Linked DNA regions of Mus musculus. The protein of the gene in region 4 binds, or shares a complex with, the protein of the main gene of each other region. Links are inferred from orthologs where the notes say so. Each region holds a gene or a part of one and is shown on either strand. Other genes may lie near its edges. The genes, in order: Ppfibp1, Ppfia1, Erc1 and Phldb2.

Evidence for each region.
Region 1: Phldb2 (region 4) and Ppfibp1 share a complex: the UniProt entries of both Homo sapiens proteins name them as parts of the cortical microtubule stabilization complex. The link is inferred for Mus musculus from reciprocal best matches to the Homo sapiens genes PHLDB2 and PPFIBP1.
Region 2: Phldb2 (region 4) and Ppfia1 share a complex: the UniProt entries of both Homo sapiens proteins name them as parts of the cortical microtubule stabilization complex. The link is inferred for Mus musculus from reciprocal best matches to the Homo sapiens genes PHLDB2 and PPFIA1.
Region 3: Phldb2 (region 4) and Erc1 share a complex: the UniProt entries of both Homo sapiens proteins name them as parts of the cortical microtubule stabilization complex. The link is inferred for Mus musculus from reciprocal best matches to the Homo sapiens genes PHLDB2 and ERC1.

Annotation. Positions count from the first base shown.
Region 1 is NC_000072.6:147,023,651-147,029,751, reverse strand, and holds part of Ppfibp1 (liprin-beta-1), read right to left. Parts: intron 4,238-6,101; coding exon 4,115-4,237; intron 3,598-4,114; coding exon 3,472-3,597; intron 2,445-3,471; coding exon 2,256-2,444; intron 2,250-2,255; exon of another isoform or gene 199-2,249; intron 192-198; coding exon 15-191; intron 1-14. UniProt on the Homo sapiens protein: May regulate the disassembly of focal adhesions. Did not bind receptor-like tyrosine phosphatases type 2A.
Region 2 is NC_000073.6:144,483,087-144,489,187, forward strand, and holds part of Ppfia1 (liprin-alpha-1), read right to left. Parts: intron 5,632-6,101; coding exon 5,605-5,631; coding exon of another isoform or gene 5,545-5,604; intron 2,126-5,544; coding exon of another isoform or gene 2,123-2,125; coding exon 1,947-2,122; intron 1,856-1,946; coding exon 1,758-1,855; intron 1-1,757. UniProt on the Homo sapiens protein: May regulate the disassembly of focal adhesions. May localize receptor-like tyrosine phosphatases type 2A at specific sites on the plasma membrane, possibly regulating their interaction with the extracellular environment and their association with substrates.
Region 3 is NC_000072.6:119,573,980-119,580,080, forward strand, and holds part of Erc1 (ELKS/Rab6-interacting/CAST family member 1), read right to left. Parts: intron 1,784-6,101; coding exon 1,646-1,783; 3' UTR 1-1,645. UniProt on the Homo sapiens protein: Regulatory subunit of the IKK complex. Probably recruits IkappaBalpha/NFKBIA to the complex. May be involved in the organization of the cytomatrix at the nerve terminals active zone (CAZ) which regulates neurotransmitter release.
Region 4 is NC_000082.6:45,822,713-45,828,813, reverse strand, and holds part of Phldb2 (pleckstrin homology-like domain family B member 2), read left to right. Parts: intron 1-1,587; exon of another isoform or gene 1,588-1,653; coding exon of another isoform or gene 1,654-1,672; intron 1,673-2,718; coding exon of another isoform or gene 2,719-2,732; coding exon 2,733-4,055; intron 4,056-6,101. UniProt on the Homo sapiens protein: Seems to be involved in the assembly of the postsynaptic apparatus. May play a role in acetyl-choline receptor (AChR) aggregation in the postsynaptic membrane.

The DNA.
Region 1 (6,101 bases), on a different chromosome or scaffold from region 4:
TGTGGGCACCTTACCTGCTCTAACCGATCCAAATCATCCTCTTCATACAGGCGCATGTCCAAGCCAGGTCTAAACCCCTTCTGGGAGCTACCTGATGCCTGGCCTAGCTCCATCGGACAAACATATTCCTCTCCATCTTCATGTTTCTTCTTCCTCAGATTCCCAAAGTTGCTAAAGGTCAGCTTCTTCGGCTTTAAAAGCAAACAAATACAATAGGATAAAATCCCTATAACAAAGGACTAATTACACCTATAAGATAATTATTCACCTCACCATACAGGGGAAGCAACGTCAATGACCAAATTATCACGGGAAAGCCACAAGCACCCCAGACATAGTATCAGCACACCCAAATATCATAAATTGTCTTGATGTAACTCTCAAAAGGTCAATCTCACCGTTATGCCACAGGCTGGACATGTCAAAATCCTTTGTTAGGATTAGACAGGACTTAATGCAATCGAATTCCTCTCAGGGATGAGCCAAATTTTGCAAAACTATTCAGTCTAAGATCAGTGAAAGCCAGTGGTCCTCACTGGGCCTTTGTGGCATGGGCCTGCCTGCAACTGCAGCTACTCAGTAGCTGAGGCATGAGAGCCACAGGCTTAAATACTGCCTGGGCAGCTTAACAAGAGCATGACTCACAATTAAAAAATAAAATAAAAATAAAAAAATTGAAAAGTGGCAGATTGGGGTGTACCCATCAATTTTAGAGCACTGGATTAATATGGTTAAGAGCCTAGGTTTCATCCCAAGTTGGAGAAGTAGGGAGGGAGGGAGACAGGAAGGGAAGGCAGGTGGTAAAGCTGGGGTTACTTCATTTGCCTGTTCTCCTTAATAGTAGGACTGATGAGTGGAAAAGAATTCACACCCTTGGAGAGAAAGAGTCCACTGATCTTTAGGGGAGAAATGTCATCGTAATCAGTACACAGTCCCCCAGGAGAAGGCTAGGAAGGCAGACAGGGTAAAAACAAAAAGAGCTCAGCATACATTTCTAGGAGAACTCATTAATTGTCTTCATATTAAGGATGTGAAAATAATATACAGATAAGTTGATGTGGGAGTATCTCAAAAGAAGAAAGAGGGAATCTGAATTTGGCACAAGCCTCAAACCTTGGCAAGTAAAAACCACCCACGCTGTAATATATAGCTCAGACCATCTTTGAATTTGCAGTCTTCCTGCCTTAGACTCTTGCATGCTGGATTACAGGCAGGTATCACAACCTCTGGTTTTGACTCTCTTCCTTTTTGAATTAAAGATGGATCTTCATTTAAAATTCTGATCTATTAAATTAGCATTTTCCACCGACCCACAGAGCAACAACCTTCACAATCTCTTGTTCAGGTGTAGCCTTTGTGAGATGTTGGCAGCAGCCCTTGCTGTCTTCTTTGATGCCTGCTTAGCCTTCTTTGCTCCCTTGGCAGCCCTGACAGCCTGCTCTCTCTGAGCATCCTAACTTCTGGTTTCTGATTCTTCTTGGCCTTTACATCCTCAGGTGATGTGCCAACGATGGCCTGCATGAATCTGCATAGCAGATACTTTTCATTTGAATTTTTTCCAATTATCCTCTTTTATGGCTTCTTTTATAGAGGATATACTGGTTTATCTGCAGAGCATTTCTTTTGGAAAGGAATGCTGACTCACATTTTACATTAAGAAACCCGAAAACCTTCCTATGGATCCTGGTGTATTGCTGCCAGTGCCCTGAGTAAATCTTGCACTAGCTGAAACTGCACAGCTCGACCACCATGATGGTAGCTACCCACCGGCTGGAGGAGATTTGGCTCTGTTCTTAAGATTTCTCTGACTTAGAAACCACGGGAGCTAAGGTGTACTCAGGAGCTAAGCCTTCTTGTTGGTCCATTTGCTTGTCAGCAGTCCCGGGGTCAAGCGCAGACCACACGCCTGCAAGGTATATGTTCTCTACTCACTTATTTTCACCCTAACTTCTCCTTTTACCAACGGGAAAAGCAAAAACATTGCAGTGGCAGACTGGACTCACGTCAGAGTCCTCAGCATTGGCAAAATACACTGACAACAGAAGCTGACCACATCTTCTTCGACTCTAATAACACAAATGACTTCAGCAGAAACTTTCAAACATGCAATCCCTTAATTGGGCTTGAAATTTATAGATATGTGTACATACAGATATTTTAAACTCATTAATAAAACTGAGTACATCTTAGAAAGTGGAATAATGGGGCCTTTGCAAACGTCGGACAATGATTAAATGCCAAAATCCTGAACCAACCTTCACTTTGGCAGTGGCTGTTAGCAGTACATAATCCGGTAACTCCATGGCATCTCGCTTCTGGTGCTGGGCCTCTGCACCAATCAGAAGGTTGAAATGGGTCGCCAAATGTCTGCGCAACAAGGTTTTATTTGGTGGAATGTTCAGTAACTGGGCCATAGTTTCTACATTAAAACGAGGCTCAAGAACCTGTAAGAAAAATTGGGATTGGTAAAAAGTATCATAGCTTATACACAGTTGAAATGGAGGTACTTCACACTGCAAAAATCGCTGACATGAGTAATTCCCAATGCCCCAGCCCAGGGTATGGATTTTCTTTTTTCGTTTTTTTAAAAATAATTTTTTTATGTGTAAAAGTGTTTGCCTACGTGTGTGTGTGTGTGTGTGTGTGTGTGTGTACCTTGTGTGTACAGTAGTGCCCATGGAGGCCAGAAGAAGGTCTCGGATGCCATGGAAGAGGAGTTAAAGATTGTTATTGCCACCATGTGGGTACTGAGAACTAAACCCAATTCCTCGAGAGCAACCATGCTTTGGCTGTCTCTCCAGCCTGAACTTTGATTTTTAGTTCACATATCACTGTGCCCGAGAGAGGCATGTGTAACCCAGGCTTCAGGGGATAGCAGCAGCACAGCTCCATTTGGAATGCTGCCTCTGAAAGCAACTGCTCATGGAACACTGGTGTGCAGAAATACTGTCTACACACATGCAGGAGTTTAAGACCAGGATCACATGAGAGACGGCTGGGTGTTACTCAGTGGTGAGGAGCAATAAAAAAGAAATGGGTTTAAGCCTAATTTAAAGAAAGACACTAAAACTGCTCTGCAAGTGAAATCCAGGGAACACCCTGGGACGGTTGGGGTTACCAGGATTATTGAAAACAAATGGATGTACAGTGAGTGTCCTTTGCTGCAATGCTTGGAACCGGTGTTCAGAGTTTGGAATATCAGCATGAAGTGAAATTTAATTTTGGGGGTAGAATCCAAATCCCAACATAGATTCACTTATGTTTCATAGGCACATCATGGTGACTTGATGCAATTCTTCTAGCACACAAAGCTATTCTATCATGGCTGTGTGTAGAATACTCTACTTGTGACATGGAAACAAAAGTTTACAGATTTTAAAGCAATGCAGATTTCAGACCAAGACTGCTCACCCTTTAGACTAAAGGAAACCAACCAACCAAGCAATCAATTTCAAACTGAAAGAGCTTTACCATGAGCCCTCCATGGACACCACTGCCTCTGAGATTGGGGGCATATTCTGCCAAGTCCACAGAGCGAAGCCACTCCATCACACGATGATTGGTCCACTGCTGAACCTCAGATGGGGTGATGCTATTCTGTGGAAACAAACAGATACTGTACACTTTAGGTGTTGATGATAGGACCCTTGATACTGAACCTGCACACGCAGTCTAACAGGCCTGGCCCATGGAGCATACTATCCGGTGTCCTGTGAAGTGTTCAAAGGAAAGGCCAAATAAGTGTTTGCTAATTTGACTGCTCTTTGAAAGAACATGTACCACAGATTCGAGCTTTCTTACGAAGCAGTAAGAAAAGGTAAAGGAAATATTTACAGTGACATTTTACTCCGTGGATTGAGGTGGCAGGAAAAAGTATAGTCTGTGAACAGGAGGAAGCAAGAGTAAGCAGAAAACAACGTTTGGCTTCAATTACACAGTGGAAGCTTTATGGGTACAAAAGGCAGGGACGTAGGAAAGTCCACAAGTCAGTGACTCTGGATCTGAGCTCTGAGGAAACCAGCTCTTTCTACACTTTCCAAGAGAAAATGGCTCCAAGTTTTCCACACATGGACTGCCCCGTTCACATGTGCAAGCTTCTTATCGGAGATGCTACCTCATCAGACGGCCGCCTCCTTAGACAGTTTGGCTCAAAGTTATTGATCCTCAGCACTTGGATGGCCCTTTTGATACTGAGATGGTGCAGCACACTGACAACCTTCAGGGACAGTAGGTCATCCTGCAAAGGAGAAACAGGAGCTCACTGTGCTGGCCCACAGCAGGGGGGAGGGGGCGCCCTGGAGAATCTTACAACTCTGCCATGAGAGTGCAATCACTCTGCTTGTGACTTCAGTTTTCATTTCATAACAGAACTCCTTTTCTGTTCTCAACAAATCCCTCTCTAGAACCTCAAATTTATATTGTTCCCCCAAATCTAACAAGTCTTTATCACTTGTCTAGGTGTTCTGATAGAATAGTATCATCAGGTCCCGCCCCGCCTGAAGGTCAGCGGCCAAGCTGCTTTCCGTGGTTTCAGCACACTTCTGTCAGCTTTCCTGGCCTGCAAAGTCCCCTGATTAGGATTACTGCTTCACCTAGCAGACTTGGTGACCAATGTTGAAAACAATTATGTCCCTCAGTATAAGGGTTTGGGTAATAGTAAAAGAGAGAAGAAATGGAGACTTCTGTTTCAACACATCACCAATAAATGTCTTCAAGGAAACACTGGGCAGTCTGAGGGTACCGGGAGCAATTTCAACCATGCCCCACACACCTAAACAAATATCTCAGCGGTAAGTGATGTCAGGGCAGTGCCGAGAGAAATCTTATCAACACACCCAGAAAATAAGCAGAGGCTGCCCATGCAGGTACATAGCACACTGTGACTGATAACATATTTCTTGGGGAAAAAAATAAATAAAAGAGATTAAGTTTCTATAAAAATATTTTTAAGAGTAAAAAAAATAGTAGTTTATTCTTGGGGCTAACAAGCAAATATTATTTCCTAATTTTTTTGCAGGATTAGCTTATTAAAATTAGCGTCTTACAATACATTAGAAAAAGCAATTAACATTTTGATCTAAGACTGAGATACTCATTCCAAACACTTCAGTATAGGCTACTTTCATTTAATTAAAGTCTATCAGATTAAGAAACATCTAAATGTGTACTGTTTCCAATATAAATAAAATGTTAATTACTTCTGAAATATATTTGAAAGATTTCTTTTTTACAAGGATTACTTTCATTTGAAACCCTTTTTAAGTCTGGGCATTCTGGCGCACGCCTTTAATCCCAGCAATAGGGCAGCAGAGACAGGCAGATCTCTGTGAGTTTGAGGCCAGCCTGGGCTATATAGAGAGTTCCAGGACAGCCAGAGCTACACAGTGAGATCTTATTTTTTAAAAATAGCAAATAAATAAACACATGGTTTATTTTAAAATGATTTTAGACTTAGGGGCTTCTAGACAGTGTAGAATTCTGTGTTTCATAGTTTCTCCTGATATTCACATCTTATGAAACTATGGCACACATCAAAATTAAGAAACACAAATAAAATTAGTATAGACTCTATTCAGCTTTTGCCAATTTTAAGGCTTATTGTTTTCATTAGTTCATGTGTATGGTGTGTGTGGAGGAAAACACACACACACCAAGCTCTGTTCTCCTCTCCTCTTCTTCCTCCTCCTCTTCTTCTTCCTCTCTTCCCCTCTGTCTGTCTGTCTGTCTTCCCCCCATGCACCAAGTTCACACATATGTACAAAGCTCTCTCTCACACAATCACAAACATCAAGCTCTTCTCACTCTCATATACACACACATATCAAGCTCACATGTACACCATTCTCACTCCCCCCCTCACACACACACACACACACACACACACACACACACACACACACACACACAGAGGTCAGGGGACAACTCTGTGGCCCCAGTCCTCACCTTCCACCTTGGCATGGGTCACAGGAATAGAACTCATGCTGTCAAGCTAGCAAGGCAAGCACTTTTATCTGTTTGGCCATCTCACTGGCTCCCAAACTGTTTTTTTACTTCCTGTTTTTTGCCAGTTTCCTACTAAGATCCTTTTTCTGTTCCTGGAG
Region 2 (6,101 bases), on a different chromosome or scaffold from region 4:
CTCAGAGTTCCACTTAACAGTTCATGATCAAAAACACTGAGGGAGCCAGGCAGTGGCGCTGCACGCCTTTAATCCCAGCACTTGGGAGGCAGAGGCAGGCGGATTTCTGAGTTTGAAGCCAGCCTGGTCTACAGAGTGAGTTCCAGGACAGCCAAGGCTACACAGAGAAACCCTGTCTCGAAAACAAAAACAAAAACAAAAAAAAGCAGTGAGGGCAGAAACTCATACAGGGTAGGAACCTGGAAGCAGGAGCTGAGACAGAGGCCATGAAGGAACCCTGCTTACTGGCTTGCTCCCATGGTTTACTGAGTCTGCTTTCTTATAGAATCCAGTACTACCAAAATGGGCTGCCCACCCCCACCCTCATTCAATCCTAACTAAGAAAATGCTCTACATGTTTTCCTATGGCTAGATCTTATCGGAACATTTTCTCAACTGAGGCCCCCTGCTTTCTAATGACTCTAGATTGTGTCAAGTTGACATGAAACTAGCCAGCATATGATGCAAATATCTTCAATGTATTTCTCATTTATTTTCTTAAGACTGGGTCTCACTTTGGAGCCTCAGTTGGCCTTGAACTAACATGGTCCTTCTGCCTTAGCTTCCAGAGTGCTGGGATCACAGACATATGTCACCATGCCCAGTACTCACAAAGAAACTAAAAGACATTCTCTAGCACAGAGGCTCTGGAGGCCACACCTTGTAACAGGTATAGTATTCCATTAGCACTAATGGTGAGCTAAGAATAGTCAGTCTAAAAATATGCCCAATCACTTCCAAAGACAGTTCCTGTCAAATGCAGGAAGGCAGAGAGCCACAGAAAATAGTGCAGCAGATTCAACATTCTGACCCCAGATGCTGCTCTGAAAAAGAGGCCATTCCCAAGACTCAGGCAACAGCATGGGACAAATTGACCTTCAGATGTGCAGTTTGTTTCCATTTTTCTCTTTTTTGTTGTTGTTGCTGTTGTTGTTGGAGACAGGATTTCTGTGTAGCCTTGATTGTCCTGGAATTTACTCTACAGACCAGGCTGGCCTCAAATACATACAGATCCTCCTGCCTCTGCTTACTCAGGAGTGCTGGGATTAAAGGTGTGCACCACCACTGCCTGGACACATCTCGTCTTTTTCATATTTTGTTTTTCTTATTAAAAACATTTCTAGGGCTGCGGTGAGCCGAAAGAGATTAAGTGACAGAGACTAAAACATCGAGTGTCCACTCAGTTCAGAACCACTGCTAAAATCATCAATGACTTCCTGACTTCTGACGTCTCTTCAAGCAAGTAACTGTCTCCATCACTGCTGCTGCGGCAGGGAAGAAGGCCCTGCAGCCGGTTCTGCTTCTGTATGTCCTCCTGTCCATGCTGCTATCCTCCAAGAGCAGGCTGAGGGGAGCCTTGGGGCCGCCTACCTTTCCTGTGGGATCAAGACCCTTGAATACCCTCAACCATGCATTTCATACTTATCCCAGAGAGTATGCAGCAGACTCATCACTGTTCTGCATTTGGAAATATGTTGATATTTACACAGGACGCACATAACCAAAGGATAACACACTAATTTCACAGGGAAAGTACCAGTACTGATGACTGTACAGGCAAGCTCTCTATCACTCCTTTCCATCTTCCTCAGGTTAGGCCAGTGCCTCCACCTAAGCCCTCCAGGATTCTTCCTAGTGCTGCTCAGCAGATGCTCCACCCTACTGAAGCTGGAGCACGAGCAGCAGAAGCCAGACCATTGCCCAGGTAGGGAACTCACCTCTTGTCTCATTCTGACTCTCTTCTCTTTTTCTTTCCAGTTCTTTTCGGTCATAATTTAGCCTTCTCAGGCACATAATTCCACACTGGAAACTGTTTCTGTTTACAAAGACACAACAAAAAGATATTATGTGGAGCTAGCAACAGGGCAAGGCTCAGGCAGAGAAAAGCATGGCGAGTGAGCACTTGCCTGTGGAAGCTGTCGACCATCTTCAGCTGCCCTCGCAAGTCTTTCTTGGTCAAGTGGTCCAGCATCCGGGCATCTACAAGGCACTCCATAAAGTAGCTGCGGTACTGCGGCAGGCCCAGGCTGGGCAGCCACTCATTGCCGATCCACTCGTGGTTCATGTCCCCATATGCTAGAGTCTGCTTTTAGTAAGAGGGTGACGTTAGTTATGGACACATTTTCTGAAGACTAAACTAATGACAGCACTGGACTTGGTAACTCTTGGGCAATCAATCTCCCATCCCCATCACTTAAGAGTTAGTGAGACTTCAGACGAAAGGAGTCATTAGAAGTCATAACCTATCTAAACAAGCCACAAGGAAACCACAGCCAACTTGCAGCGCCCCTTCTGAAGAGCTGTTAATATAACAACTAAGAATGACCACGACTCATGAACAAGTTTGAAGGGCAGGTTCAACTTGACTCATTAAAATGATCTCTGACTGGTTTTGACTTCGGTTTTAACACTTTTTCATAAATGTCTATTTAAAAACCAGTAAAAGTTGATTAGAAAAAATTTTAAGAGACAAACCAATAGCTAACAGGATTCAGTGAAGAAAAAGACAAATGCACAACTAGAAACAAGCCATAAATACTCCTTCCATCCAAAGCACAAAGGAGAGGAGTGCTATAAAGCAGCTTTTCCTTGAAAAGACTCAGCACGGTACAGATTGAAGCAACAATTACCAATTAACTTCATCTATTTAGGTTTTCCAGAATTCTCTACCTGACACCAGAAAACTTCCTTTCTTTTCTTGAGAGGGGACAACCATACTGCCCAAGACAGGATGCAAAGCCTCACACTCCATCCCACCAGCCCATGTGGTCCTGGAGGCCACCATCTCAAGGTTGGCACATCATAGTCAACTTTCTGGGCTGCTCAACCTCCCAAGTCGTGGATGATGGTTGCACAGCCCCATAACACATCCAGATGTGTTTGGCGTGGTGTGGTGCAGACTGAACCAGGCCTCATGTACAACTTGGCCACAGAGTGATGACTCCCCAGCTCTCAATATGCTTAGAAGCGACACTGCACAGTATTTTCTGACTCAAAAAAATGAACCAGAATCTGTAATTCCAGTACTTATGAGGCTGAGGTCTGAGGACTGCTGCAAGTTGAAGGTTGACTTGGGATACAGGGCAAGATCCAGTAAAGATAGGTGGAAAAGATGGGAGAAAAAAGAAACCAGCAATTGGCCAAATACAGGGTCACATATCCATAGTTCCTCCAACTATTCAATAGGCCAAGATGGGAAGCTGAAAGTCAGAGACTAGCCTGAGTAACACTGCAAGACTTTGTCTCAAAGGGATAAATAATGGCTAGAAACATCTAAATACCTTCCAAACATTTGTAAACACTTCCAAAATAATAGTGCAAGAATCTATAATGTCATCAAGTCAATCAACAACATACTAAAATACCTGATGCTGAGAGGCTTGTTGTCATGGGAACATAATCTGGGAAATTTTGTATATCAAGAAACTGGAAAAGCATAATACTAAAAAAGACCCAGAAACACCATGTGAAAGGCTCCCCCATTCACTGTGGAGAATTCAGCATTCTGGGAATGGGTGAATCTACCTCCAAGCAGCACAGAGCACCTGCGGAGGGGAAGAACTGAATGCTTACCCACAAGAAGTGCAGCTGTGCCCTCAGTAACTCCCAGCACTGAACCACCAGCACAAGGCAACAAGACACACAAAACCATCGAGCAGGGAAGGAAGTCAGTCAGCCCTGTCATTCACAAAGGACAGGACCAACTGAGACAGGAAGCTGCACAACAGCCCCCAGGCCAAGACCCGGGTGGTGCTAAGCAGTATGAACAGGGACCCATTTCTATAGACTAAGAACCAACTGGAAACCTAGGTTAAAAACATCACTTCTAGTGACTAAACAGGTCTGTCCTGTGGAAATGAGCACACTGCAGGCAAAGAGAGCAGGTGACTTGATGCTGGGAAATAGAAACAGCCTCCCTCCACTGCTCACCTGCTCCAGCCAAGGCACAAAGACACTCTACTAAAAGAACTATTCTATTACTGTCCCTAAGCACTCTAGATCATCACAAGATGTCACTGTCTATCAGCACTGGGACCCTTAGCTATTTTCTGGCCTGGGTCTGCATTCTTGGAAGGGCAGAATGAAGAAGATCCTATAAAGAAAGGGCCAAATGAGGCAGCACTGTCCCATCTGCATGCTTCCCAAGCACACCAATCACTTCTTTGTGGTGGCCGTTGCAGCGAGGGCTCAGTCCAGGGAGCTCTCCTTTTCTCCTAGGATGCTGAGATAACCTAGGAAAGGGAGGCACACAGAGCCAGATGCCCTAGGACAGAGGAAAACGCTGCACAGCACAGATACAATCCAGACTAAGCAAAACTTAGGCTACAAAGTAGGATCATGGCCACACCTCTTATTAATGGTTCCTCAGTGTCCACAGTCTATCCTGTGTGGGAGAGCAGGCTGAAGTCTTTGCCTAACAGCTCAGTTGGGAAGAGAATTGCGAGCGAGTGATACAAGCCCCTTCTTTCACACTCCATTGCAAAGCATGCTGCTCACACTTCCTAGCCTGAGACAAGCATCTATTTCTACAAAGAACTAGAATCACTGTGTGTGGACATGTGAGGTGCCCTGTGATCATCAGAAAGTATCCAGCTGACCATCCTGACTGCCCATTCTGTAAGGAACTGCTAGCTAGGCTGAGTAATGGCAGGGAGAAGCAAAGTAAAGGAAGAGCAGTGGACCAGAGCCTGTATCCTTTCTGCATCACAGTGACATCGATATAGACAGAGGTAGCTGCCTGTGGTGGGGAAAACTAAGAATATTACCTGCCCAGGCCCATAGCTCAACCTCAGCAATAAAGCTGCTAAAATCCAGGGACGGAACAACTGTCATTCACCTGAGCTGCCTGAATGCGAGATGGCAAAGCACTTAGGAAGAGCTCCCTGGGTAGTAAAGAACTGGGGACTGAGAGTGCAAACACAGTGAGAGAGCTCAGTGGGCAGAGGCACTGGCCAGCAAGTCTGAAAACAGAGTTCCTCCCTGGAACCGACATGGGGAAGAGAACTGACACTCCTGCATTGTTCTTTGACCTCACTATGGCATGTGCACACAGACAGATAAACACAAATACCTAAATGTAATAAAAACGTTAGCAGGAAAATGCAAACACCCATGAGACAGGAAGAAGCCTCACCTCTTAGAATTCCCCCAGTGAGATCTTTAAATCTATTCAGTATTAGGGCAGCACTCAGTAAGACATCAACACAGAGACACAGGAAAGGCATAATGTTTCTAAGGTTTGCAAATTTTATTTCTCTACCAGGAGATCTTGAAACCTAAAGTCGTCCCAGCAGGGAATTCTGCACGCACTCTTAAAAGGTGTGGGCTCCTGTGTGAAGGACCCCACATCGACAGAAGCCTGTGCTCATGAAAAGCCACCACAAAGGCTCCTGTGAAAATGTTCAAAGTTGTCCATGAGACGCTGCCAAGCCTGCCCTGGGCTTTAACCACACAGAGCAGACTGGGGTTCTAAGAATATCCAGAAAGACAAGTTCCAAGCTTTACCATCCCAGAAACTTTCTGTTGCCACACAGTGAAGGTAGGTAGGTAGAGAAAGATGCCAACCTGAGCCCAGCTTCCCTCCTCGTCTTCCTGATGTTACATGGTTAGGAATGCAAAAGAACAAACCGTTAGTGTTTGTAAGCTATGGTAAGGCAAGCAGGCAATCATGGATGGTTGGACACATGAGCATGCTGGGATCGCAGCAGCATGCAGTCTGTGCAGCACCAGCAGCCTGGGGTTTTCATGCAAGAAACACACCCTTTCCATGCCAGCATATCAGTAAGAGGGAAAAGCTGGGTTCCACTATCAGAGTCGGGTGCTAAACTGAGCTCTGTCCCGAGGGCAAATCAATTCTATCTAAATGAGCACATCTGCAGCAACTGTAAGATCCTGGAAAGAAAAAACTAAAGCAAAACAAACTCCAGTTTGTACACTTAGTTGATAACCTAAGAGGGGACATGTCTGTGAAACAACTGAACATTAACACCTTCATTCCCAACAGAAAAGGCCAAAGCCCAAGCTGGTCTGACACAACACGTGCCCTGAGAACGCAGGCTGCA
Region 3 (6,101 bases), on a different chromosome or scaffold from region 4:
TGGCCAGGCTGGGACCTCCAAAAGCACCTCCATGAGAGGTTCATGGCAGAGGCCACCCAACCCTCACGAGGAATTCTCTCCAGCATCCCATACAAGGGAACACTTCATGTCAGGGAAGAAGGGGAGCTAGGGCTGTGACTGTGACAGTAGTGGCCGCATGATGTCCTAGGTTGAGGGTGAGAGAGATTTGTGGGCAACATTAAATTCCTTTGAGAGTGTTAACTGGGCAGAAGGGGAGATGCAGGCTGAGAGGCCTTAGCCTCTCACCAGAAGACAGCAGTGTCAGGAGTCTGCTTCAGGGATGAAGAATGAGACATGAGCTGCACTCTCTTAGGGCCCGACTCCATCTGATAGCTGTCCTCTACAGCTGGGGATGGGGTTGGGGGGATCTGCATCTGATTGCAGCATGGCCAAGCCCATGAGGTGTGCATGGCTGTGTTAAGCAGGCAGCTGACACAAACGAACATGTTTCAGGGTAGTAACACTGACAGCAAAGATCCTGACCTACCACATGGGACCTTCCAGGCAGAGAGGTGGCTCACCCAAGCCCATAGATGCCATGAGGGTGGAGAACAAAGAATGCTGGTCTGCGAAGAAGGAAGGGAGAAGGTATGCGTTCACTGCCATGATTCAACTGAGCACATCTCACAGGGCTTCCACACCATCCCTATCCGAGGCTTTTCCAAGGATGACACTGTGCACATGGATGTGCACACAAGTAGGCATTTCATACTATTTTTTGAGTGAATGAATTGGAGGAGGGAATGTGTGTGCATTAAGACAAACTCAGTTGTGCCAAAAGAAGTTTCTAGGCAGGTACAAGGCTGTGGCTCTGTGGTTGTATCTTGAGAGTAAAGCTGAGAAGGTGGGCAGTGGATCACATACTCTAGCAACCCCTGGTCAACAGCAGCTTGGGGCAAGGTGTTGGGAGCAGAGAGCACTGTGGGTGATGCTCAGGAGGAATCAGCCTGGCCCTCCAGGACAGCTTCTGAGGAACAAAACTGCAGGCAGTGACAAGAGGGCCCTACAAATTAAGCCCTCTTCTCTTCAGTCAGACATTTAGCCTACCAATGTAGCATGGGAAGGTCAAAGGACTTAAAGAGCGATCAGGGTGACCACTGTGAACATCCTTCTCCTGTCAACTAAAAGCAGTGCAGGTGAGACAGGCAACAGGCTGAGAGCTAAGCTGCATGAAGCTGGCCTGTACCTGGGGCTCATGATGGTAAACAGGAGGGCAGCGCGGGCGCAGAGAGGAGTATTCGTTCTTCTCTTTGTCCCTGGTCACCTCCTCCCTCCTTCTGTAACCCTCTGAGGAGAAAGCACTCGTGCTAAAGCTTCAGCTCCAAGCTCCCGGAGCACGGAATCTGAGTGGGCTCCAGATGAGCTGAGTGGCTTCTGGCTTCCTGTTTCTGGAAGGGCAGAGTGCAGCTCGCAGCACTCCACTGCTGATGCCAAGGGCAGTTCTTCATGGAGACCAGGGAGACTTGAGCAGGCAACATTCAAAGCAGAAGGCAGAGTACGATGACAGACACCGACGGCCGGACTGGCACATCCAGCTGGCAGAGTCTGGTGTGGTGGCGGCTCAGACACCTGTTCCTCAGGTTCCCTCTCTGGCTCCTTGGTCACCCTCCTTGTCAGGAGCACATCAGGAGGACTCTTCCAGGGCATTGACCACTTGTTCGAGGATGTCAGGGCAGTGATCGGCTATCTGCTGGAGAATGGTGTTGGCAAACTCCTGCAGCTCGGCGTTGTCCCCTTCAACTTTCTCCAACTCGTTCTGAAGCTGAAAGGGAAAAGAGGCAGGGTTCAGGTGGAGTTCAGGTTATTTGTACCGAGTGGGAATTCATCAGGAAAGAAATGACAAGCAGAGTTGATGTCCCTGTATCAAAAGGAATGTTCAAAACACACACATTCCTAGACTCTCTTCATGAAAGTAAGGCCCAGAGGAGTCAGTGCTGAGTCCAAGGCTGCACACTGTAACATCCAGTGCTGACTTCATGTGGATGGCTGTGCCCAGGCGTCCAGACTCACAGGCCTGGGTGATTGAGGATCTCAACTTTGTGTGAAGCTCTTCCACAAAGATTTCCCTTTGCTACAAACAGCTGTGTTTCTGTAGGGGCCTCAGGCAGCTTGGTTATTCTGATAGATATCCTAGCCCACTGCTGAGGAGAGACACACCCCCAATGTGCTGTTCTCAGTTGCCCCGGACTGTCCTCCTCTAACTAGCGTCACCAGTGCCCTGTGTGAGGTCTGAAAGGCCGAGGAGCGAGACCCTGTGCTGAAACTCCTTGTAGGCTGACAGCAGGACAAGAACATCAACATGTAAGTCACAACCCAGTCCAGTGCACACAGAGGCTTGAGGACATACTGGGAGAGAAGACACATGGTTACTTCACTCTGGGCCGTATGAGAAGCCACTAAAGGTGGTGAGGATCTGGGTCACTTGGGAGATCAGAGGCAGATCAAAGGAACCTCGGGTAAGCTGGATCCTACAGTGAGGTGGGGGTGGGGGTGGGGGTATGGAGTTGAAGAGATAGGCAAGGGCCAGACTCCAAGAGAAGCTAGAGCGCAAACCCCAACTGGTGCAAACTACAAGGAAATCATGTGCTTTTAAATGACACACTGGCCCTGCTCTCGTCTTCTTAGAAGGTGACTTGGAAGGTTAGGAAAAAGCAGATCAGTGGGCAGCAGGCAACACCCAGGGGTGAGCTTTGTAAGCACAAGGCAGACTCACACAGGGGACAGAAGAGGCACCCATGAGAACAGAAACCACCTGTGATGGGCTAGCGCGGAATGAGTGGGTAACATGGCTCTCAAATTCTAAAATATTTTGTAGAAGAGCTGCTTCTATTTTGTAGAAGGCAGGGTTCCAGGGGAGGGAGGAGGGAAACTGGAAACTGAGTGTCAAGTGTACAGTTCAGGTCCCAGTTTGGAACACAGCCTGGATCTCAGTGTCAGCTCTGCCATTTATTGGCTGATGTGACCCTGACCTCCCTCCCCTTCAGTAGGATAGACCAGTAATATTTTCACAGGGCAGTTTTATTAGAGGATTTAACGACAATCTCATACGAAAGGCAGGGTAATGCCCACTGCACTGAAAATTCTTGAAAAAAGGTTAACTACTGTAATTACTGTTATCAAGCGGAGAAGATGACCCAGAAAAAGTAGATTAAGTGGCAAAGAGAACCAAGTTTTCAGGACCCCACTGTTTGTTGACTAGACATTCTGAGCCATGAATGAGCTTGGTACTTCTCAAGTGCAGCCATCAGAGGAGACTGGCAATCTTCTTTCTGTTGACTGTTGACCCTGATCTGGAGGCTCAAGAACCATATTTAGACCACGTTAAGCCTTAGTGCATCTTTAAAAGATTCAAGACAGGAGTTAAACTAATCCATTTTCACCTAACAATATACTGTACTTCCAAATCAAATCTCCAAAGCTGGCACATAACTGACCTTGGGAATGGGCTCTAGGGCCTAGTGCATGCTGGGCAAACACTATGGCTGAGCTGCGAACCCAGCATCCACAAGGATATGTTAAAGAAGAAAGTAAAAACACTATAAAACACACTAGCTAGAGGGCACTATATTAGTATCATAGTATCCACTGGATTTTGTATTAGTTCTCCGCCCCCCCCCCCCCCGACAAAATACCTGACACAAACCACTTTAAAGGAGTGACTTATTTCAGCTCATGGTTTTAGAGGGCTTGATCTATAGTCAGGTGCTAAGGGCTTGGCACCAGATGGGAGCATTACTGAGATAGCTGAACCTTTAAGGGGTCCAAAGTTTTAGGCTCCTAGGAGGAGCTGTGCCTTTGCAGGGGACTGTGGGACTTTGGGCTGACCTTTCTTTGTGTGTGTGTGTACTCCAGCCACAACATGAGCACTAGCTGCCCTGCTACAGGTTCAACAGCAATATGGCAACTGCTCGTGAGTGCAATCTCTGAAGCGGAGACCAGCATGCCTCCTTTCTCTGTGAGATGACAGGCTTGTTACGGGGAGGGAGCTGACACACATCCTCTATTTTATGGAATGGCAAACCAACTCCCTTACTGTAAATATTATAGTGAAAAATACTAGGGCTTTTGTGACTGTTTGTTCGGTTTCTATAGTTCATCATAATTTGTAGGTAGCTTGTAACTTCCTCTCTACACATAATTTTCTTTGTATGTGTTAAAATCTTTTCATGCAAAGACACCACAAACATTTCTGAACAGGACAGTTTTACTAACCTGCAAAACTAAGTTTGTTCCCATGAATCAGTCAGACCTTTCTGTAACTTAAGCTTGAAGTTCTTAAATATCCATTCAAAAAATGTCCTTTCAGTTGTGTGGATACTGTAAGATTCCATGGAAAAACTGGTGTGGTGGGACACACCTGGGGTTCCAGCTACTTGGGATGTCGGAGGTTGTATTAGTCAGACCCTGACTAAGACAGAGGATAACTAGAAGTCAAGTCTGTTGTAGAATGTGTGCGTGTGTGTGTGTGTAGGAGAACTGTTTTCTATTAAACCCTAACCTAACTCAGAAACGGAAGGGGAGACTGAAACTGAAGAATGGATATAGAGACATTATCTCCAGCAGAGAAAACAGCGAAGTGTACTCTGCTAAAACAAACCAAGATTTCCCAATGCAGACTGGAGTACAGGAGAGCAGCAAGCCGGACCGCAACCATTCCACACTGCCTAGAGGCAAGGGCATAGTGCCTATGACAGTGTAGTTCTGCTACCAGGTGACGTCACAAACAAAATACCCTTCCTCAAAATGACCCCAGTGTACCCTTTATTCCTTCTTTCTGAACCCTCTGGGCCACCCCCTCAGGTCCCTTTCCTCCATCGTGAAAAGAACCCCTGAAACCACATCTTTTAAAGCTGACTGCAGCTTTTCGTCATCAAACTCTTCAAAAGCGCACTCTCAGCTGGTATGGGGAATGGCACAAATGGTCGTCACCTAACTTGCTTTCTTGGAAGGTTAGTGAAACCTCTACCTAAAAACTATTAAGTATATTTACAGAAGCAAAACATGTCTTAAATGGAAGGATATAACATGTCCAAAAACTAGAGACTTGATACTGTATTAATTCTGCTCAAACTAACTCAGAGAGTCAGTGCAATTCCCCCACTCTGCCCTCCCCCCAAATCTTAGGCAGCTGTGTCTATAAAAAAGTTCAGGGAAAACCCTATACAAACATGACCACTTGCTTTATGACAAAGGCATTTCCTGTGTGGAGGGGAAAGGCTGGATATTCTGATACATGGGGCTATGTGAAAGAAAACTTTTATCCATATTGCAATCATACACAAAATCAGTTCCGGATGGATAGTAAACGTATGTCTGAATAAAAAACCATGAAGATATTTAAAAGAAAACAGAAGAGCTAGCCACAATGCCACATGCCTATAAATTTAGCATTCAGGCTGAGTCAGGAGGATTGAAAGTTTGAAGACAGCCTGGGCTACATAGTGAAAAACCTGTCTCAGAAAACCCAACCAAACAGCAACCAAACACAAAAAAACAGCATGACATCTTTACTGAATGTGAAGGTTAAAACAGGACACTTTGCAAATACAATCAGTCTCATGCTGGTCTTCTCTGTACCCTTCCAACATCAATATATACAATGCCAAAGTTATCATGCATAGATTCCTTAAATAGAACACAAAAGAACACTCACCACGAAAAAAAGAAAAACAGTTAATTTATATTAAAACTAAAGGCCAGATGTGTGTGGATCCAGGCCTGCAATTCTAGCACTCAGAAGGCAGGAAGGTCAAGAGTTCAAAGTCATCATCAGCTAATATGACCAAAGTCAGCCTGCCTGTGTAAGGTCTTATGTCCCAAACTAAAAAAAAGAAAAAGAAAAACAAAAAGAAAAACTAAAACTAAAACAAAGCAAATGAACAAGCAAACAAGAAAACTCAAATGAAACAAAACCAAAGAAAGCTACCCAAAACAAAACTAAGGACTTTCTCTTAGAAGACATTATTAGGAAAGAAAAGCAGCTGATGGGTGGGAGATGTTTGCAATGCACGCATGGGACACAGACTAATAGTATAATACATAAAGAACACCTATAAGCCGGGCGTGGTGGCGTACGCCTT
Region 4 (6,101 bases):
GAGACATCTCAAAACCCTTCCCTTAGTGACCGACTTCCTTTATCACTGAAAATGTCTATAGCCATCCCAAGCAGGGCCACCCCTGGCAACCAAGTGTTCAAACAAATGAGAATCTGACCAAGTTAAAAAAAAAAAACAACAACAACAAGGTATAAGGGGTGGAGAGATGGCTCAGAGGTTAGGAGCACTGACTGCTCTTCTGAAGGTTCTGAGTTCAAATCCCAGCAACCACATGTATATAATTTTGAGCCGGGTATAGTGGCGCACACCTTTAATCCCAGCCCTTCGGAGGCAGAGGCAGGCAGATTTCTGAGTTCAAGGCCAGCCTGGCCTACAGAGTGAGTTCCAGGACAGCCAAGGATATACAGAGAAACTCGGTCTCGAAACCCCCCCCCCCGAAAAAAAAACAAGGTGTAAGAGAGACCACAGTCTAATATTTTATGTCACATTGTTATAAGAAAATTAAAATGTAAAAAATGTAGATTGATATGAAATCACTAGTAATATTACCACCCCAGGAACAATCAGTAGTAACTTTTAATGTGAATTTTTTTCATCCCATTGTTACTGCTGTGGGAGAAAGGTAAACACAAGGGGACAAATGATGCTGGGTTCTATGGGGACTCATCAGTGAAATAGCAAGAAGCATCAGATTTAAAATATGGATGAAGGATGGTGATGACTAGGCTTGTGGATAGAAGCAGTGAAAGAGAAATAGACACAACAGAGGAGGTCATGATGACTCTCCAAATCCTGATCTAAGTGCCTATAAGAAAACTACTGGCTGTGCACATTATCTGCTCAATGTGTGTGTGTATACATATATATATATGCACATGTATGTATATATATATATATATATATATATATATATATATATGCATGTGTATATGAAAGTAACTATACTCATTGAATGTTTTTAATGTATGTGAGAATATATTATACTACAAAATATATTTTAAATGTGGTATTAAATGGTTTCACACTGTTCACTCCTGTGATGAACCATAGCTTTTCCACATATCACTGGGCATTTAAAGTTATTTCTTCTATATTATAAATAACCCTGAAACTCTTTAGGGCCCATTTCTTTTCTTATTTTCTCAATTCTGAAATATTTATGTTGGGAGAACTGGCCGAGACATTAAAATTTCAAAATGGCAAACCCACCAAGGTCAAAATGAGTTCAGAAAAAGACTAAGGCTAAGTGAGGGTTGTCTTACCTTCACTCTGACAAAGCATGGCAAGAAATGTCACAAGTGAGACTGATGTGGCTTTCAACTTTGGAACTGGAAATAACTGATGAGGGCATTGTCTTGGGGTAGAGGAGCACTGGCCACAGGCCATGAACTGCAGGGCCACAACTCACTGAAATCCAAGTATTAGGCTTAGCTCTGATGATTTGTGTGGATTTCTAAGCTATTGTTTTGAAATATATCATTTTAACATACATTCAAGTAGAGCTTTGAAAGACAATGAATCCAAGGCAGCATTTCATGGGGGTGGGGAGAGACTGTAGCTCTCTTGGGCAATTCCTAGCACCACCTGGATATAAAGCAGGGACATTTCCTTGACTCCTGCCTGTAGGGGAGAAGCATTTCCATGCTGAGAAGACTGAATTTCCCTGGAGAAACATGATGCTAAGCTAAGAGAATGAAGTCTTCCCTCTATGGTATGAGGATGTGTGTAATTGAAAAATGTTTTAAGGTTTTTTGTTTGTTTGTTTGTTTGTTTGTTTGTTTGTTTTCCTATAGAGCGATGGAAGTCAAGGAGATGAATATAAGAAAAAATTCTACACATAATCTTTTCCACCAATCATTAGTGTCTAAAGTCCCCGAGGGCTGGAGGAAAGTCTTAGCCCTGCATGTACTTACTGAAGTCAAATTATGTTTTTCCCTTGTTAATAATATAAAGATAGTTTCTTTTAATATAAGCCTTTTCACTTTCAGGGCTAGTTTTAATTCAACGAAATTTTCATAGATTAAAATTTTAAGTCAATGTTGACTCTCAGATCTAAAACCCAAAAATATATACTTATTTTTTTTTTAAAAAAATACTTATGGAAGATAGAGTCCTATTTTATCCCTTGAGTGATGGGTTAGACTTTGGTAGGTAGAGCAGAAGGCACACGGTGTTTTTGTTAGAAAAGAGAGCTCACTACCAAGGACAAGCACAACACATTTTGGATGCCAAGGAATTTGAAGAATAGAATAATTTAGGGCTTTTAAATGTGCCATCTTGACCATGGGACAGCAATCTTGGGAACACCCTTTGATCCAGTGTCTCTTATCTCTTACCTTTTTCTAATGAGCTTTTTGCTGTCCACTTAAGAAGTAAACTTCTATCCCTTCCCTACAAAAGAACCACACCCTCACATTCTGGATCAGTGTATAACATAAACTTTCTTCCTCTGTCATGACATGAGTATTGTTTCTTCAAGACTGTTTCTGAGCTGATGATGAGTCTAGCAGAAACATTTAAAGGAAAAACAATTTGGTGGTTCTCTTAGGCACATAGAAGATATTCAGGAAGACAGTCGTTCTCCAGAGACTGAAACACTGGGCGCAAAATTCTTCTCTTACATACCAACCTAATCCTGAGTCATTATTTTACTAGGGATTTGTAAAATATATCCCTGAACAGAAGTCCTTATTTTTCACCTTTTGGTACACTTTCACGTGTGTTTAAACTAAAACTTTCTCCTTTTCCCCTTTACAGGATCCAGCCATATTATGGCAGAAGATAGCCACATGCAAAAGCAGCTGGAATTCCAAAATGGTAGCTTAGAGGAAGGATTTGTGGTACGTTCCCTGGAGAACGAGCCCCAAAACATGATGGAGAGCCTAAGCCCGAGGAAATACTCATCAAGTCTGAAGTTTAAAGCCAACGGGGACTATTCTGGCTCCTATTTAACCCTCTCCCAACCGGTGTCTGCCAAGAGAAGCCCTTCTCCAATGGGCACCAGCGTCAGGAGCAGTCCCTCCTTGGCCAAAATCCAGGGAAGCAAACAGTTCTGCGATGGAATTGATAAAAATATTTCCATGAAACCTCCTATTTCTTTCCTCAGTTCTGCAGCCTCTCTTGGCGGCTATCCTCTTGGGAAAGCAGATTTGGATCATTATACTGGTCGAGACAGTGAGAGGTCCACCAGGCTCTCAGAGAAGCCTCCCTATTCCAGATACAGCTCTAGGAATAAATCTCATGACAGTGTCTACTTTCTAGGGGGGCTGGAAGGAAGAAAAACCTCTGGCTCGCTCCTGACCATGTGGAACGGAAATTCCTTGAGCTGCACTGGCTCGTCACCCATCAGCAGGTCTGGGGCAGCGAGCATGCCTTCAAGTCCAAAGCAAGTCAGGAAGATGAACCTTCAGGACCACTCGACACTTCAGCCCAGGTTAAGCAGGCACAAGGAGCCGGCCTCAGAAAACGTCAGTGTGAGAACAAGGAAATACTCAGGGAGCAGTCTGAGTAATATGGGTGCCTACAGCCGATCGCTTCCCAGGTTGTATAAAGCCACAGACAACCAGATGTCGCCTCTCAGCCTGCCTCCAAGAAGTTCCCTGGGCAATTCCAGAAGAGGTCAGTTAGGAGAAAAGGATCTACCTCATAGCCTAGTGGATAGTGACAATTACCTTAACTTTTCTTCTCTAAGCTCAGGGGCTTCACCCTATAAAACCTGTCTGTCAGAGGGAAATCCTTACGTAAGCTCCGCCCTCAGTGTTCCTGCCAGTCCTCGTGTGGCTCGGAAGATGCTCCTGGCCTCCACCTCCTCTGATGACTTTGATAGGGCTTCATACTCAGGGACCAGCCCAAGTCATTCCTTCATTTCTGGAGAGCCAGACCGAGTGCTTGTGGCCAGGAGGAACTTCTCTTGTGGATCAATGGAGCTTGATGACTCTGATCTGGAAAGCCTAAGACAGTCGTCAGAAACTCCGCAGCCGGTCCTTCGAGAAAGGAAAAGTAGCATTAGCTCCATCTCGGGACGCGACGACCTGATGGATTATCACCGAAGACAGAGGGAGGAGAGACTCAGGGAGCAGGAGATGGAGCGACTGGTAATCTAACTCTTTTGACTTCACCGTTCCCCTGACTTGCATTCACAGGGCTGGCGACAGACACCAAGGAGTCCATTCCACATGGAGAGATGGAATTTCCACTGGACCAGCCGCAGTCCCTCCTACTTCTTGCTCTCTGTCCTATAACTCTGTCCTATAACTCTTTCTTATCTATTTTTTTCAGACATTTTTGGGCATTTTGAAACTTCCAGAGCTCACTAGTGCCAGAGCCTTGTGTTTATTTAGTTGTTCTGCAGAGTTCTAGAGTCCTTTTTCTATTCTCTTCTCTACCTTACCATTATTTTCCCCCTTTCTTTCATGTGCTGGGGATTGTACCCAAGGGCTTGCACAACCACTAGAAATCCTGGGAAAAGCTAATGTCTAGTGCATTTTGCTGAATTTCTTCTATCTTATGAGCTTTCTTTTAAGAACAGGAGGGGGTGGTGGTGTTGTTTACATCATTAAGTTCGATAGTATATACTTAAGACAGACAGTCGGTGAGATAATAAGGCAAGAATTTGTCAGTACAGCAAGTCATCTGGAAAGCCAAGCTTTGCCTCAATCTCCGTGGTACTCAGTTTTCCCCACACAGTTCACATAATGCCAAACTCCCATCAGCTGTGCCTCTGACTTCACACAGCACCACCAAACTCCAAAAACAAAATGCCTTGAGTTCATTCTATTTTTTTTCCAGTCTAAAACCAGTTTCTGCTTAACGTAAAGAACTAATTGGACATAAAAGAACAATGATGGAAGAATAAATTCCTCAACAGCCCTGCTGATGAAGGAAAACATTCAAAGGCAGTTTTCCACTCCCTTTTTAGTGGGTTTTTATTTCAGAATGAGTACATGTCAGAGGTTGTTTTTTCTTCGCTGGTGATTAATGGTCTCCTTAATGAGAAAAGCTATAGGGTGGCAAAGCTGCTTTCTAAAAGTGTAAAGATTATCAGAGGTATTTTAATTGCTTTTTAAAATAAAGTATGTTGGAATAAGATTTCTCAATCGTGGAAAAATTAATGAGGGCCTACAGTACAATAAAATTTATATTATATGGATAGAAACCATCTATACTATGCAACATCTGTTTGACAGTTGAGAAGAAGAATCACATATCACTCAAAGTTTTGGTTGGTTTATCCCATTCCTAACTAAAAGCACTGGATAAAAATATGTATGTATTAAATATTACCCTAGGTAATTAAATATTCACTGTGCATATCACTTAGCAGTCCAGCATTACATTCCCTTTGTTGTTATAAGTTATCATTATTCATTATTATAAAAAAAAACACTGTGTCTAGGCTTGGTCCATTGACATAATTCAGAAGGTAATTCAGTTAGCAAACAGACATCTTATCTCTGGACAGTAAACAGTCCTACACTGTGCTAAACAGCTATTACTAATGACCTCAGATAATTAACTTTGATAATTTATTAGAAAATCTAGAAGAGCCTTTCCTGTGGGTTCTCTCATCCTAGAGATCTTCCTTTATCTACACAATGGGTCTTGTATCAATCACAAGAATGGAAAACCGTCAGGAACCTCATATGCTTTGAGTTTCATCTTTAGCATATGGAAGTGTTGGTGGATTTCTCTGTCCTCCATATTCTCCAAATCTAAGACTCCTGACAGACCCAGTAGTGACTTTCCTTGTTGCTTGCAAGGCTGAGATGCTATGAACCATGAGCAAGGTCAACTTCTTGGGAAGCCTTGATGATATTGTTAGGAATATACTTGAAATCCCTTATCCTTAATAATGGCTCATATTGTATAAAATTAGGCTTATCCTATCTCAAGTGATCATGTTGAATGATCTTTCTATTACTTTTACTAACTGTCCAATGTAGACAGTTTATAAAGAGTCAAGGTCTTCCTGGCTTGCAGTTTTGTATTCAGATGCCCCAATGTTTCTGAGCAATGCATCCTGGCAGGGAACACATGATGGAGCAAAACTGTCCACCTCCTGGCCATGACATGATAGAAAGAGGAAGATACCAGGGTCCCACAATCCTCTTTAAGGATACAAAACCAACAACTAGACCTTC